Diceros bicornis minor: one gene and its partner. The protein of the gene in region 1 purifies or fractionates together with the protein of each later gene. This does not show direct contact. Links are inferred from orthologs where the notes say so. Each region holds a gene or a part of one and is shown on either strand. Other genes may lie near its edges.

Region 1 (7,183 bases):
GTAAAACTATTGAGGACTCCAAAGAGCTTTTATTTATGTGGATTATATCTTTTGATATTTACCATATTAGAAATTAAAACAGAAAAACTTTAAACACTTATCAGTACATTTAAAAACAAACCCATTATATGTTAACATAAATAACATTTTCAATTAAAAATGACTATTTTTCCCCAAAATAGTGAGAAGAGTAATACTGTTTTACATTTTCTCAAATCTTTTATGTCTAGCTTAATGAAGGCAGTCACATTCTCATAGCTGTTTCTGCATTCAGTCTGTTGCTATATGTTGTTTTGGTTAAGTTTATAACAAAGATCTTGCCTCACACAGTAGGAAAAGGGAGAAATATTCTATAAACCTTTTCAGATAACTGTTTATATTGACAAAATACTAAAACTCAACAAATGGCAGTTTCTTAAAGGATAATTGCATCTTGGGATCTGAAACCATATCAATGAACTTTTCGTACTTCGTGACATTAAAATCTACTGGTGTATCTTACATTTTGAAAGGTTCTTTTCACCCACGGTGATTTTAAAACGTCATGCATTGGTCATTGGGAAAATAGAGATTTAGTGAGTTATGCCAATCTTCCAAATGTTGATACATTTCATTATACAATATTTTTAAAAAATCACAGTCATTAATTAACACCGATATTATAAGAAAAATCTTTCAAATGCTATAAAGCTGTCAAACTTGAGATGTCAACTTTTTAAAAATTCTCATTTTCACTCTCAAATTTTTATCATTGGTAACAAATACCGTCAAGTGTTTTCCTCAAAGTGATAAGCTCACTTTATTTATTTTCAAGAAAACACGCGCCAAACACTCAAGTGTGAAAAACTGTCGTTTGTCATTCTTTCAAGTAAAAACGCTGTTCCACGAAATGAGCAGCTTTCAACTCAATCTCCTAAGTGCTTTTCCTTATGACAAGGCTCATATCTGAGTAGGCAGCATTAGGCGCTTTATGCCTACTTCCCATTTGGTCACAGATTCTTAAAAATTAGAGACACGTACTCAAGGGCTGAGATTTAATAAAATCAATCATTTTTTACTGCTTTATCAACAACATTCTCAAGTAACTAATAACAGAGTTTCATGCAACTGCCTTGCTTTGTGCTAAAGCGCCACCAGTAGTTTCACCCAGCACTGCTTTAGGACTATCAGTGCAAACAACAGTGATAAAAATAAATAGCATCTTATATGACCTCGTGGCTCCTCTGAAAAGGTCTAAGGGGATCTCCAGGGGTCAGTGGACCACACTTTGAGAACTGCTTTCCTAGATTATACCATTGGTTCAAAGTGAGTGTAGAAACTCTAATAAAATCCTGTGCATCTCGACTCTTCATTTTGTCAGTTCCTTTACTTTAAGATATACCAACATCACAGCTGGTATAACCGTAATACAGAAAAAGGGAAGGAAATAGAGGGCACAGATTGAATTTCATTGTTTTAAGATTATGTTTTGAGCACTTCTATGCTAAACTAATAATTCTCAACGAAGGACTGCAGGTTAAATGTAGAGAAGATGACACCCCCCTCCCCATCTCACCCAAAGAGACTTGGGGATGAGGCCCTCACAACCGCACTTCCAGCAATCTACAAGGTATTTTTTATGCACCCCTAAGTTAAGAACGATTGTGAACACCTCGAATTCAGAGTCCAACTACCAGTCCCAAGAGCAACGGATTCCAAATTCAGTGTCATTCGCCAAGAAGCAACCCTCCCCGCCCCCGTCCTTTCCCTTTCATCTACATGGGAAAATTCCTTAGAAAGTAAAACTCCGTTTCTGTGGGGTTTTGAGCTGCGGTGGGAGGTGTCTTTTTAAAAGAATGTAAAGGGCTGGGCTCCAGTCTGCAACACGAAGACAGCTATTCTGAGATAGTACAACTTATCTCGATTTCCATCTGGAAAACGAGACTGGGCTAAACAACTTAGAAGACTCTTTTCAGCTCTACCCTTTTCTGAGCTAAGAATGTCCAATATAAGAGAGCTGAGAAACGTCCAGCGTTATCAACAGTTTGAGAGAATCCCGCCTCTAACGGGAGAGGAAATCAGGACAACTCGCAGAAAAGAGGGACCGCAGGTGGATCAGCGACGTCACTCCTTTTCAGTAGGTGCTAAGATTCCAGAAAATAGTCCCTGGGATAAACATGGCGCCCACCGCGGCAGGATATAACCATCAGAAAATAAAAATTCTCTACCCCATCCCATTTTATAAATCACGGCGCCATCCCAAAGAAATTTTAGGGCCGAGGGAGGAGACTTTGTAAACTAACTGCAGTGCACTAAAGCTTGGGATGTGCGATTGGTCCGAGCGGGGATTACATAACGCAGGGGAGCGGCTCACCAATCACTCATTTTGCTGCTCACGCTCAAAAAGAGCGCCCCACTCCTTCCCCGGCGGGGGTGAGGCGGCAGGGCCGCGCACTACACCTCCGTCGGGGGACGTGACCCCGCCCCCCTCCCCGCGCGCGGCCTCGCCCCCTCGCCCGCCCCTCCTGCCGCGCCCGCTGCCTCGCCGCCGCCCGCGCCCCCGCCCCTTCCCCAGCGGGCCGCCGCCGCCCGCGCCCGCGCCCGCCCACTCCTCCGAGACGCCTCGCGCCGGGCGTGCGTGTGGACGTCGTGTGTGTGGGGCCGTGGGGCCCGAGTGCGCGCGCGCGCGCGCCGCGGCGGGCGCCGGGGGGCGGGGGTGGCCGGCAGGGGCCTCCCCGGCCGGCCCGCCGCGCACCTCCCGCAGCTCCCGGGGCGCACACGCACACACACACGCGCTCCCGCGCCGCACCCCACGCCCGCCGCCGCCGCGGGCCGCGCCGCCACTCGCGGGGGGCGGAGGGGCGCGCCACCGGGCCCCCGCCCCCACCCCTCGTACCCGCCCCATCCCCCTCTCATTGTCTCGCCTCGGAACGCCTCGCCGAGCGAAAAGATAACGGAACCCCCGGGAACAGGGGGTGGGGAGAGAGAAGGCTCGCTCGCTCACTCACCTCCCGTGGTCGTCGCCGCCGGTAGTCTGACCCGAGGAAGGCGCCGTCGCCTTAAAGGGACCTTGCACCCGGCGCCGGGAGAAGGGGGTGGGAGCAGGGGAGGGGACGGGGGCTTGGGGGTAGACGGAGAAGAGGGAACCGTTGAAAGCTCGTCTCCCGGAGGGTGAAAGGAAACCTCCCTCAGGTTCGAGTGACTTGGGGTGGATTTTTTTCCCGAGGGGGGCGGGGGGGGGGCCCCGAGGGAGGGGGGTGGGGGGGCCAAGGAATGCGGCTCCGTGTACGGGAGCTGGCGCGGGGGAGAGAGACGCCGACTCCCCCCACCGACCCTCTCGCCCCGCGGAGGGATACGGCTCGTCACTTCCGCCCTCCCCCTTTCGTGGCCTTTCAATTGGTTGAAGCGCATGACACGTCATGGGCTCATCCTAACCCCTGCCCGGGCTTCTTTTCTAGTCAAGTTTGTCTGGGGCTGCGAATAAATAAATAAATAAAAACATTTTTTTAAATGAAATAAAGAATAATTAGCTTCAGAAACAATATCTAGGTTTGGGTGAGAAAAATGGAATTTCTAAAGAAAATATTCCCCAATTCACTTGCCTGGACTTTCCAGGAAATTTTGGGAATCTCCCCACTTTCCACTCAAAGCAAGAGGGGAACTTCATGCCACAGGCCAGATGGTGAGGCCCAATGGCACCAAGAACTGTCATTGGAACAAAGGCAGCAAAATGGCACTCACTTTTCCTCAAGAGACATTCAACCAAGTAGTCTTATGGCAGTAGCCTTAAGTGAAGAAATTTTAAAAACCATTTTTACCCTGAACCTTTCTGGATTCTGGAAAGAAGTCACACATGATTGCTTATCAAGGTGATTCATGTATGTAAACTGCTTTGAAACCATGGTAAATAGACTCAGCCAAGATGCTCAGTTCTAAGAAACTGTAGACTCCACATCTGTGCTTTTTGCTCCAATCAAGGCTGAGACGGATTGGTCCAAAGAAATTGATTAGTCTAGTCAAGACCATCCACCTGTTGTTTTTCTCCAAACAAAAACTAACCTCGTTTCCGGATAGCTAAGAGATTTTGTCATTTATTACCTCCCCAGATGATGGTAAAATTTTAATATTTTCCTTGGTTATTTGAGGATGTTGTTGCTCTTTAAGCAATACACAAATATTTGCTCCAAACCAAGTGCTAAATGTTGGTGCAACATTGGGGAGATCCAGAACCATATTTATTCCTTCTCTTTACATACACACTCTATTCAAACATCAGACTACAAAAATAGGCAGTGGAAGTAGGCATTCCAAATTATGCACCATGCACATGGCTGCACGTGCCACCACCCATTTTCTTTCCACTTCATACCAAAAACATGTGAGTGATTTCAACTAGTCATTCTTAGAAAGAACTTCATTATTTGAATTGAAAGAATCACTAAACCTCTGAAGCCTTTCCAGACCTGGTCTGGAAAAGCCCATAGTGGGATTATGGAATCAATCACCAAAAGACAAATTCTATATGAAGTTGTAATCCTATTTTATGCTTTCCTACAATAATTATTATAATTCATTACAACATAATTTGCCTCTGAAATATTCTTGTTGAAACATATTTTGCCATGCCCTAAGTGCCAGCTCGTGCTATCTGCCAATGACATCTAGGCCAGCAGACTGTACCATGTACTGTTGGCCAATAACCATTAGCATACCATATTGAAAATGCATCATTCATTCAACAAATATTTACTGAGTACTTGCTATATGCCAGGCACTGTTCTCAGTGCTGGGAATACAGCAACAAAGAAAACAAACAAAATCCCTGAACTCATGAAGCTTATACTGTAGTGGGGAGAGACATACAATATACACATAAACAAATTATTCCAATATCTACAGTTGAATAACAAATGGTCCCAAAACCTAGTGGCTTAGAACAACAACAATTTTATTATTATCTCTCATGGTTCTGGGAGATGATTAGGCTAAGCTAAGCGGTTCTCACTTGGAGTCTCACGCAGTGGCTGGGGCTGAAGTCAACTCAAAAGCTTCCTCAAAAGTCTGGAAGTTGATGATGACTGTTGGCTTGGACTGCAGCTGGTGCTGTTGGCCAGAACAGCTGGCTGTTGGCCTCTCCATGTGCCTGGGCTTCCTCATATCATAGTGGTTGAGTTCCAAGATTGAGTGCCCCACGAGGACCAGGCAGTGGTTGTATGGCTTTTTGTGACCTAGCCTCAGAGGTCACATAGCATCACTTCCACTATCGTTACAGGCTCACCTCGACTCAAGGCGAGTGGGGAACATCTCTCAAAGGGAGTAGTAGAAACATCACATTGTAAGAAAAGTATTTGGAATGGGAATGTTATATATTAATAAATATATAATATGTGATATGGTGATAGGTGCTATGGATGGGGAAAAGGGCAAGATGGGGGAATTGGGAGTGTGGTGTGGGGGTGGGGAGGTGTTATTTTTTGTGGGGTGATTGGAGATGCTTTGTCATTAAGGTGACATTTGAGCACAGACCTGAAGAAAGTGAAGCCAAGTTCAGGTTTTACTCTTAGTGCAAGTGAAGTCGTTGGAAGATTTTAAGCCAAGGAGTGATATGACTTGGCTAACATGTTTAAGGAACACTCTGGCTGCTTATAGAGAATTCCTTGTAGAGACGAGAGTGAAAGCAGGGAGACGAGTTAGGAGGCTCTTGCAATAATCCAGATGAGAGGTGATGGTGGCCTGGACCAGGGTGGGAGCTGTGGAGCTGCTACTTCAGCTGAGTGAGTTCCGTGGTGTGTTGTTTACTTCTCTGTGACTTATTTTTCTATTATTTAGTTTTGGCCATGGGAGACAGTTTTGACCCATAATGGCTAGCAAAATGTGTATGAGGGATAGTGCTGTGCCTACCACAGAGAAATAAAGTTAGAATATTGTGCTGAATGTTAACATAGGAGTTTTGTGGGGGCTGGAGGCACCCTTGAGTAAAGAATTCAGAAAACAAGAGTAAGGATCAACAATCAGGGAATGGAGTAAGCTCTTTGACATTATAAAAGGTATCCAAACTGCCACCGTCTGGGAGGATCAATCAACAGTTGAATGACTGATAGCTGGAAGAAATCAAGGGTAGAGACATTTTATAACTTCAGAGGATTTGAAGAAAATTCTACCACCTTGCAACACTGGAGCAGCATCTCAAAAAAGACTATAGTGTTAGCGCTCCCATTTCCAGGAACGTATTCCCCGTGCTAAAGAGGGAACGTCCATATTAATCTGAGCAGTGTTGGAACATTTTGCTATCGTCAGCTAACACACAAGTTTCTGGAGTGAAGCAGTAGAACTGATAGCTGTGGTTTCTCTTATACTTGAACCATCTTGATAATGATGGGAAACAAAGCAGCAGAACAAATAACCTGGGTCGAATCCTTAGAAATCAGTTCACATGTGCCTCTGTGACATATTGGGGCGAGGTCTGAAAGCCAATCTAGTTGGGTATATTGAAGAAATTGAACCCTAATACTGCTGCTAAAAAGCTACGCCAGTCTTCAGTAGCCAACTTAGAAAAAAGGAATCCTCTCCGTATGGGTTTCTAGGAAGGAAGGTCAAAAGTTAATGGAAGTCCCAAGTTATGCATTTCACAGTTAGGTAGCAGAAGAGTATTTCTTTTCTACAGTCTATGGGAACACTTATTTGCTTCCTTGGCTTATGGTTTCTGCCATGAGTTGAAAATTGGAACCACCTGTAGCTTGGACAGTGTCAAGGCAGAGAGACAAATGATTTCAGCATGTCTTCAAAAGCAGTGAGCCATGGGTGCCTCTCTGCTGTCATTTTGCTACTATACAGACCCAATCACTGACTGCTCAGGTTCAGTGTGAGGCTAACCAGTACGTGTTGAGGTGGGGAGTAGAGAGGATTGTGAGGTCAGTCCAGGCAGAAAGCAGCTTTGTGGGGGACAATGCCAGATTTCTTTAAAAACAAGCATCCTGCTCTACAACACACACTCAGGGTGGTTCAAACCAGGAGCTCAAAGGGAGCTACTCATTTTGGAAGATTTTTTTTTTGTGTGTGAGGAAGATGGGCCCTGCGCTAACATCTGCCAATCCTCCTCTTTTTTTTTTTTTTTTTCGCTGAGGAAGACTGACCCTGGGCTAACATCCATGCCTATCTTCCTCTACTTTATATGGGACGCCGCCACAGCATGGCCTGACAAGCG
Region 2 (7,529 bases), on another chromosome or scaffold:
CCTCCCTGCAGCTCTCCTCTTTGTCTCTCACTTGTTCCTGCCTTTGTCCTGCTGTCTCTCTGCTATTTAATAAACGTTTCCTGAGGCCTTGACGTGGGCTGGTCCCCCTGCCTGGAATGCTGTTCCCCACTCTGTTTGCCTGGTGACCTCCTGCTCATCCTTCAGGACCCAGCACAGGGTCAGTCCTCCATGAAGTCACCCCTAATCCCCTAGAAGTCTCTCCCCTGCTCCCTCCCCCTGGCCTGGCATCTCCCCTTGCCACAGGCCTAGAGGCTGTAGCCATCTGGGCCCCAGTACGTCTCCCCCATCAGACTAGGACCCACCCCCTCAAGGCCTGGTCGGACTCACCTTAGGGTCCCCAACACTGCCTAGCACAGGACGTGTGGGTTAAATGAACAAGGGTGGCCCCAAGGCCCTCATCTCCCTGCTCCAGGCCCTTACCTCTGCTCTTCTCCCACCTGGGGCGACCTTTTCCTTCTCTATTAGCAAACTCCTGCTCCTCTTTAAGGCCCCAGCTCACACAACACCTCCTCTGTGAGGCCCTCCCTGACTTCCCAGGTGGATGGTGTCTCTCTCCTCTGGGGTCCCCCTGCCCTTGCCCCCCCTACACCCTGATCACCTGGGCAGTAACCCTCTGGGTCTGGAGACTCCTGGAAGGCAGGACCTAAATCTGACCCATCTCTGTGTTCCCAGAGATGCTGAGCATAAGTCAGCCTCAGGAGACCTTTGCTGAATGGCTGCAAAACACAGAGGAAATATCTCTGGCCTTGGGCTAGGGGCCCCATCCCTCTTTCTCCTCTGACCTCTGACTTCACACCACCCACCCTCCAGGGTCTTCAATGCCCTCTATGACTTCACGCAGTTGGCCTGTGAAAGGCAATGAGGTCGTCGTCCACAGTGACCAGTCCTTCATGTCCACCATGACTTCCAGGACGACCAGCCCTTCTGTGCCCACCATGCCTTCTCCAGCTACAAGATCCTCAAAGCCCAGCATGTCTCCAGCGTCCACTGGACCCTCCATGCCCACAGCGTCTCCCAAGCCTCCCGCCTCCTTGAAGACCACCAAAGCAGAGATGCCCAACAGCTCCTCAGTGCCCACCAAGCCACTGACAGCCCCCAACTTGCTCACGAGCCCGAGCAGTTCCAAGTCTACCAAAGGGGCAGGTACAAAGCCAGCCCCTTCTAACCAGCCCAGCAGCAAGTCCCGAGTCCACAGCAGGGCAAGAACATCCAGCAAGGCCAGCACTGATACCAGGGCCAGCACTGACACCAGGGCCAGCAAACTGAGCAAGGCCAGTGGAGTAAGACACCACCGGCGGAGGGGCACGCAGAGCCGGGGCAGAACTCCTGCCAGAAGGGGAAGCCACAGCTCCAAGAGGTCACCCAGTAGGGCCAGCACTCCCAGGAGGATGAGAACTCATGGTGCCAGACCCAGCAGGATGAGAACTCCTACTTCCCAGCAAAAACAGAATAGAGGGAAGAGTTACAGCCGGCCTAGAACTGGCAACCAGGAAAGGAGTGAGAGCCAGCCTAGAGATATGAGCAGAGAGAAGAACTACAGCCCACCAGGAGCCACGAGTATGGAGAAGAGTTCCAGGCTGGCTGTAACCAGCAGTACAGCAAAGAGTTCCAGCTCCACTAGAACTCTCGTCAAGGAGAAGGGTTCCAGCCAGTCTCCATCATCATCGAGGGTAAAGAGTTACAGTCAGATGATCAGCCCCAGCAGGGAACGGAGTTCCAGCCCCACTGAAGTGTCCAGCAGGGTCCAGAGTTACAACCAGGGTAGTGCCCCCACCAGGACCCGAAGTCACGGCCTGTCTGGCGCCCCCAGCAGGACCCAAAGTCACAGCCAGTCTAGCGCCCCCAGCAGAACCAAAAGTCACAGCCGGTCTAGCACCCCCAGCAGGACCCGAAGTCACAGCCTGTCTGGCACCCCCAACAGGACCCGAAGTCACAGCCTGTCTGGCGCCCCCATCAGGACCCCAAGTCACAGCCGGTCTAGTACCCCCAGGACTCGAAGTCACAGCCAGTCTAGTGTCCCCAGGACCCGAAGTCATAGCCGGTCTAGCACCCCCATCAGGACCCGACATCACAGCCGGTCTAGCACCCCCAGCAGGACCCAACGTCATAGCCGGTCCAGTGCCCCCAGGACGCAAAGTCGTAGTGCGTCCAGCACCCCTGTCAGGACCCGAAGTCATAGCCGGTCTAGCACCCCCAGGACCCAAAGTCACAGCCAGTCTAGAACACCCAGAAGGGCAAGAAGTCGCAGTCGGAAGAGGGCCCACAGCAGGATGAGAAGTCACAGTTGGAACAGAAATCATAGTAGGGCAAGAAGTCGTACCTGGAAGGGAAGTCCCAGCCAGATGAGAAAACATAGCCAGTCTAGAACCTGCAGCAAGGGGAAAAGTTATAACCAATCTAGAACCCCCAGAAGGGAAAGAAGTCACAGCCAGTCTAGAAGCCCCAGCAAGGAGAGAGATCACAGACAATCTAGAAGCCCCAGCAAGGAGAGGCGTCACAGACAATCTAGAACCCTCAGCAAGAAGAGAGGTCGCAGACAATCTACAACCCCCAGCAGGGAGAAAGATCAGAGCCAATCTGGAACCTCCAGCAAGGAAAGAGATCACAGCCGATCTAGAACTCCCAGAAAAGAGCGTTATCACAGCCGATCTAGAACCCCCAGCAAGGAAAGAGATCACAGCCGATCTAGAACTCCCAGAAAAGAGAGCTATCACAGCCGATCTAGAACCTCCAGCAAGGAAAGAGATCACAGCCGATCTAGAGCTCCCAGAAAAAAGAGTTATCACAGCCAATCTAGAACCCCCAGCAAGGAAAGAGATCACAGCCAATCTAGAACTCCCAGAAAAGAGAGCTATCACAGCCAATCTAGAACCCCCAGCAAGGAAAGAGATCACAGCCAATCTAGAACTCCCAGAAAAGAGAGCTATTACAGCCAATCTAGAACCTCCACAAAAGAGAGGCATCACAGACGATCTAGAACCTCTAGCAAGAAAGACCACAGCCGATCTAGAACCCCCAGCAAGGAGAGCAATCCCAGCCAATCTACAACCCCCAGAAGTCTCAACCGGAAGGGATCCTCCAGCAGGGCACAGAGTCCCAATCAGAATAAAATACCTACCGAGACAAAGAGCCACTCCCCCTCAAGATTTCTTAGTGGAGCCCCAATCCCAAGCCACGACAATGTTCAAGCCAACACCACCACCTCTAAGGCCACCTCACCTGGAGAGAGGTCCTCATCATCTTCTTCCAAGCTGGCGTAGCCCCCAGTCTCAGCTGGCTCACGGGTCTCTGTCATGGCCAGGGGAGGGGACAGGAGACAGGAGCAGAGCAGCAGCTGGGCAGTGTCCCTCCCTGGCCAGCTCTCCACAGCCACAAGTTCTCTAATGCAGGATGTCGGCAGGTAGAGAGGGATGCTGGATAGGGGAAGGAAAAGCCTGTGGTGACTCAATAAATTTTTACATAGCATCTGCCTCCCCAGCTGCATGTTCAGTGCTGGGGACAAGGCAAAGAAGGCCCCAGCTCTGTCCCTGACAGCCTACGGGGCCTTGGCTACAGGCCTCGCCGCTCTGGAGGCCTTAATTTCCCCATCTGGGCAACAAAACTGTCTGTGGTTCTTATTCGATGGGGTGAGGAAGGGTAACATTCCAAATATTTAACAGCAGGTACTAGCATGGGCACTAGTCAGAACTGAGAGCTGAACATGGTCCCATGCCAGGAATTAACCCTTTAGTTGCTGGACTATAGGAAAGTCTGAGGCTGGGGGAGGGTCCAAAGTGGAACCTGGGGGTAGGGATTACCTGGTGTAGTGGTGATATACCAACCAGTCTAGAAGAATTTCAATACTGAAACAACTGGTATGGCTGAACCAGTTTGTGAATGTCAGCTCTAGTTCTGTATCAATTTATACCTTGGCGAGATAGTGTCTAGGTTGGTTCATTTTTTTTTTTTTTTCTGGTGAGGAAGATTGGCCCTGAGCTAACATCTATTGCCAGTCTTCCCCTTTTTTTTGCTTGAGGAAGACTGGCCCTGAGCTAACACCTGTGCCAATCTTCCTCTACTTTGTATGTGGGTCACCGCCACAGCGGTGGTGTTGATAAGTGGTGTAGGTCTGTGCCCGGAATCCAAACCCGCAAACCCCGGGCCGCCGAAGCAGAGCGGCCTCAACCACTACGCCACTGGGCCGGCCCCGTGTCTAGGTTTGAATCCTAAATCTAGCCAGTTTCCTTCTCAGTACAAAAAGAGCTTCTGGGGCTTAACTCATGTACCCCTCATAACCATGCTGAGACAGATTATTATCTCCTTAGTACAGAGAAGGAGACTGAGGCACAAAGAGGATTAACAAGTAGCCCAAGGTTACACCAACTGGGAGCTGAGTGAACTGGGATTTGAAGCCATGTCATCCCACTTCTCATAAAATGATCCCTTTGCTGAAAAGAGTTTTTGAAGATTCAGTAGGCTCATTCGCATAAATTGCTGGTATGTGGCAGGCACTCCATTAACAGTGGCTGTTACTCCCATCCCCAAGCCTCTATAAACCCCACTCCAGCCATTCCAGACTTCTCCCCTCTCCCTGCGCATGCCAGGATTTTTCACATCTGTGGGTCTTAGCAAATCCCGCTGTTGCGTTCTAGAGCGTCCTCCTTTCCCCTTGTCTGCTTGGAGAACTCCTATTTACCCTTCAAAGCCCATCTTGAACACAAGAACCTCTGCACTTCTTCCCAATGCAAATACCACCCCTGCCTCTTCCAAGAAGCCTTCTCTGACTCCTCTCCTTCCTCTCCCTCTTCACCAATACCTCCCTACACACATACACAGACACAGACACAGACACAGAGCACTTCTTTTGTCTCTCACTGCACTTCCTAACAGTAGAGAGCCAGGCAGAGCAAGTCAGTGAAGGGGTTGGCAGCCTCAGCTGCACCTCTTATACACTACGGACGGCACTGGGCATACAATGCTGGAAAGTACACCATCCCTTCAAAGCCTGGAGGTCAAGTTTAATGCTGGGGACTAAAGAGAAAAAGATTAGGATTGAAGCCTGGAGGAGGCCGGGGGATGAGAGGGCTGCCATCAACGGCAGGGGAGCTTTCTAAAGACACCTGGATGGGCTTTCGGGACAGAGGATTTATAATTGGTAGGGGAGAGTTCTCATAACACCCTATTGCCTGTTCAGCCCCACTTACTTTGGCAATTCTATTTCACACCTCGATAAGCTTGCCAGATTTAGTAAATAAAAACAGACGACACCCAATTAAATTTGAATTTCGGATAAACAACAAAGGATTATTTAATATACATATGTTCCTTGCAACATTTGGGAGGTACATTTCTAAAAGATTATTTATCTATGTGAAATTCAACTTAACTGGCCGTTCTCTATTTTAACTGGCAACCACACACCAGGGGCAATCAGGACATCCCATGAGATTACCATGAGACATGGCTCACCAGTCCAGCCTACCCTGCCCCAAGCCCACATCCAGAGTCCCCTTCCAAGGCCCCTTCCAGAGTATTCCAGAGGTCAGGTGGAGCCATTCAGTAGCGCACAAGTCCCATTCCTACAATGACTATGGCGGCCAGACTGACTCCCACGATCTTAGAGGAGCATAAACGAGGCTCCCTCACTACCGTAAGGAAAACACAGCGCCCAAGAGACCCCACAATGTCCCAAGCCCATAGCAACCAACTCCCAGAAAGCTCTGCGCGAACATAATAGGCACGCGGTCCCACAATGCGAGGGCAAGGAGGCCAAAGCAAAACCCTATGAGGGGCAGTAAAGACCAGTCCCGACAAAGCTCTGCGGCAATTCTTCCCAGGATGCCTCGGGCCTATAATGACCACCCTCCAAGGTGCTCTGCATCGAAGCACTCTAAGCTTCGAGGATGCTCAGAGGAAGGGGTGTGACAAAAGGGACCGGTTCCCCACAAGGAGCTAAGATAATCCTTCCCCAATGCACCAGGCCCATAACGACTAGCGACCGACTCCCAGTGCTTTAGGGCGGGGAGTCCTGTTTTCCCAGGATGCCCAGGGCTGCACGGAGCCGCGTGGGGGGAGAAAAGGCAGCCCGGGCTCGCCCTCAGGCCATCACGGGCCAAGACCGCGGCCGGCTCCTCGGTGGCGGGAGCCGTCACTCCCATCATGCAGCGGTGCCGTAGCGCCCGCTTCCCAGCATGCCCCGCGCGCCTCCATCCCGGACACTCACCGGCGCCGACGGCCCCCGCTCCGGCTCGGCGGCGGCGGCTGCACGCCCGGGCTCTGCGCCTGCGCTGCTGGTGGGGTAGGAGGGAGTGCGGGGGGCGTGAAGAGCCTAGGGCGCTTGCGCGGAGAGATGGACCGTTCCTGTCTCACAGTGGGAAGGGGGGTCTCCGAGTCGGGCTCTCGACGAGGCCCGCGCAGGGGGTTTCGGGCTTTGCCCCCCGCTGTCCGGGTTTACTTGGTACAGTCCGCAGCCCGGCGGAACGAGAAACTGCAAGACTCGCGCGTGCGTGAGCGAGCAGGAACGCGCCTTGTAGAAAATGGGATGCGCTGGGGGTGGGGGGCGCCCGCTCTGCCTGGATCCTGGACCTGAGGCCTTCTCATTTGCATAATCTTCGCGCGGGACAATGGGAGGCCTCGGGCGCTGAAAGGGGTGATTTGCATATTCCCCGGAGAGGCCGTACTTCGGAGCGCAGTGATTAGCATATGTGGGGTGGGGGCGCCTGAGCAATGCGCGTGCGCACAGGGACTGCGGACTAGCGCGAAGCGGGGAGCCTTGTCTTAGGATCAGTTTGCATCCCGAGAGCGGCCACAAGGGCTAGGACCCTTACCAACCCTCACAACCCTCCCCGCTAGCCAGGATAAATATTTATTGCTCTCCTATGTGTCAGGCCTTGTGCTAGTGGGCACTATGGTTTCCGCAGTGAACAAGAGGCGCCCCAGTCAAAGGAAGGAGATCCACACATAATCAACCACAAGCCAGAGTGGTCAAAGTTGGGATGACTGGAGCATAGGAAGCTGTGGGAGCCAGAGGAGGCGCCTGCCCCAGCCTGGAAGGCTTCCAAGAGGTGGTGATCTTTAAGCCAAGGATGAATAGAAGCCAACTAGAGAGGGAGTCTTTCTGGCAGAGGAAACAGCAAGGGCAAAGGCCTAGAGGCAAAAAGAAAAATGCATGGTTTGAGGAAGTGAAAGCAGTTTAGTATGCCTGGAACAGAGAGGGGAAAGTCTTCTACAGGTGATGTTGAGCTCAGACTTCATGCTGAGAGTATAGAAAGGTATTGCAACATTCCAGGCTTCTAGGAAGTGACTCATGTTCCAGCTTAAAACTTGCTAATGAGATCTCATTACACTTAGAAAAAAATCTAAACTCTTTATCATGGTCCATGGGCTGTACACAGCGTCTCTGGCCCTGCTTATCTTTGACCTCACCCACTTCTCTCTCCTCTTTATCCACTCCTGTCTAGCTCCACTTCCCCTCAAACACCCCAGTCTCTTTACCATCTCAGGCCTTTGCCCATGCTGTTCCCTTTGCC

Evidence for each region.
Region 2: the proteins of POGZ (region 1) and ZNF428 purify together in Homo sapiens (affinity purification with mass spectrometry; 3 studies listed by BioGRID and IntAct, counting the BioPlex papers as one, with this or other methods). This does not show direct contact. The link is inferred for Diceros bicornis minor from reciprocal best matches to the Homo sapiens genes POGZ and ZNF428.

The regions. Positions count from the first base shown.
Region 1 is NC_080743.1:55,723,475-55,730,657, forward strand, and holds the start of POGZ (pogo transposable element with ZNF domain), read right to left. Parts: upstream 3,270-7,183; 5' UTR 2,988-3,269; intron 1-2,987. UniProt on the Homo sapiens protein: Plays a role in mitotic cell cycle progression and is involved in kinetochore assembly and mitotic sister chromatid cohesion.
Region 2 is NC_080773.1:18,217,313-18,224,841, forward strand, and holds the start of ZNF428 (zinc finger protein 428), read right to left. Parts: upstream 3,317-7,529; coding exon 3,241-3,316; coding exon of another isoform or gene 957-3,240; intron 1-956. Other genes in the region: SRRM5 (serine/arginine repetitive matrix protein 5), read left to right, coding at 957-3,281.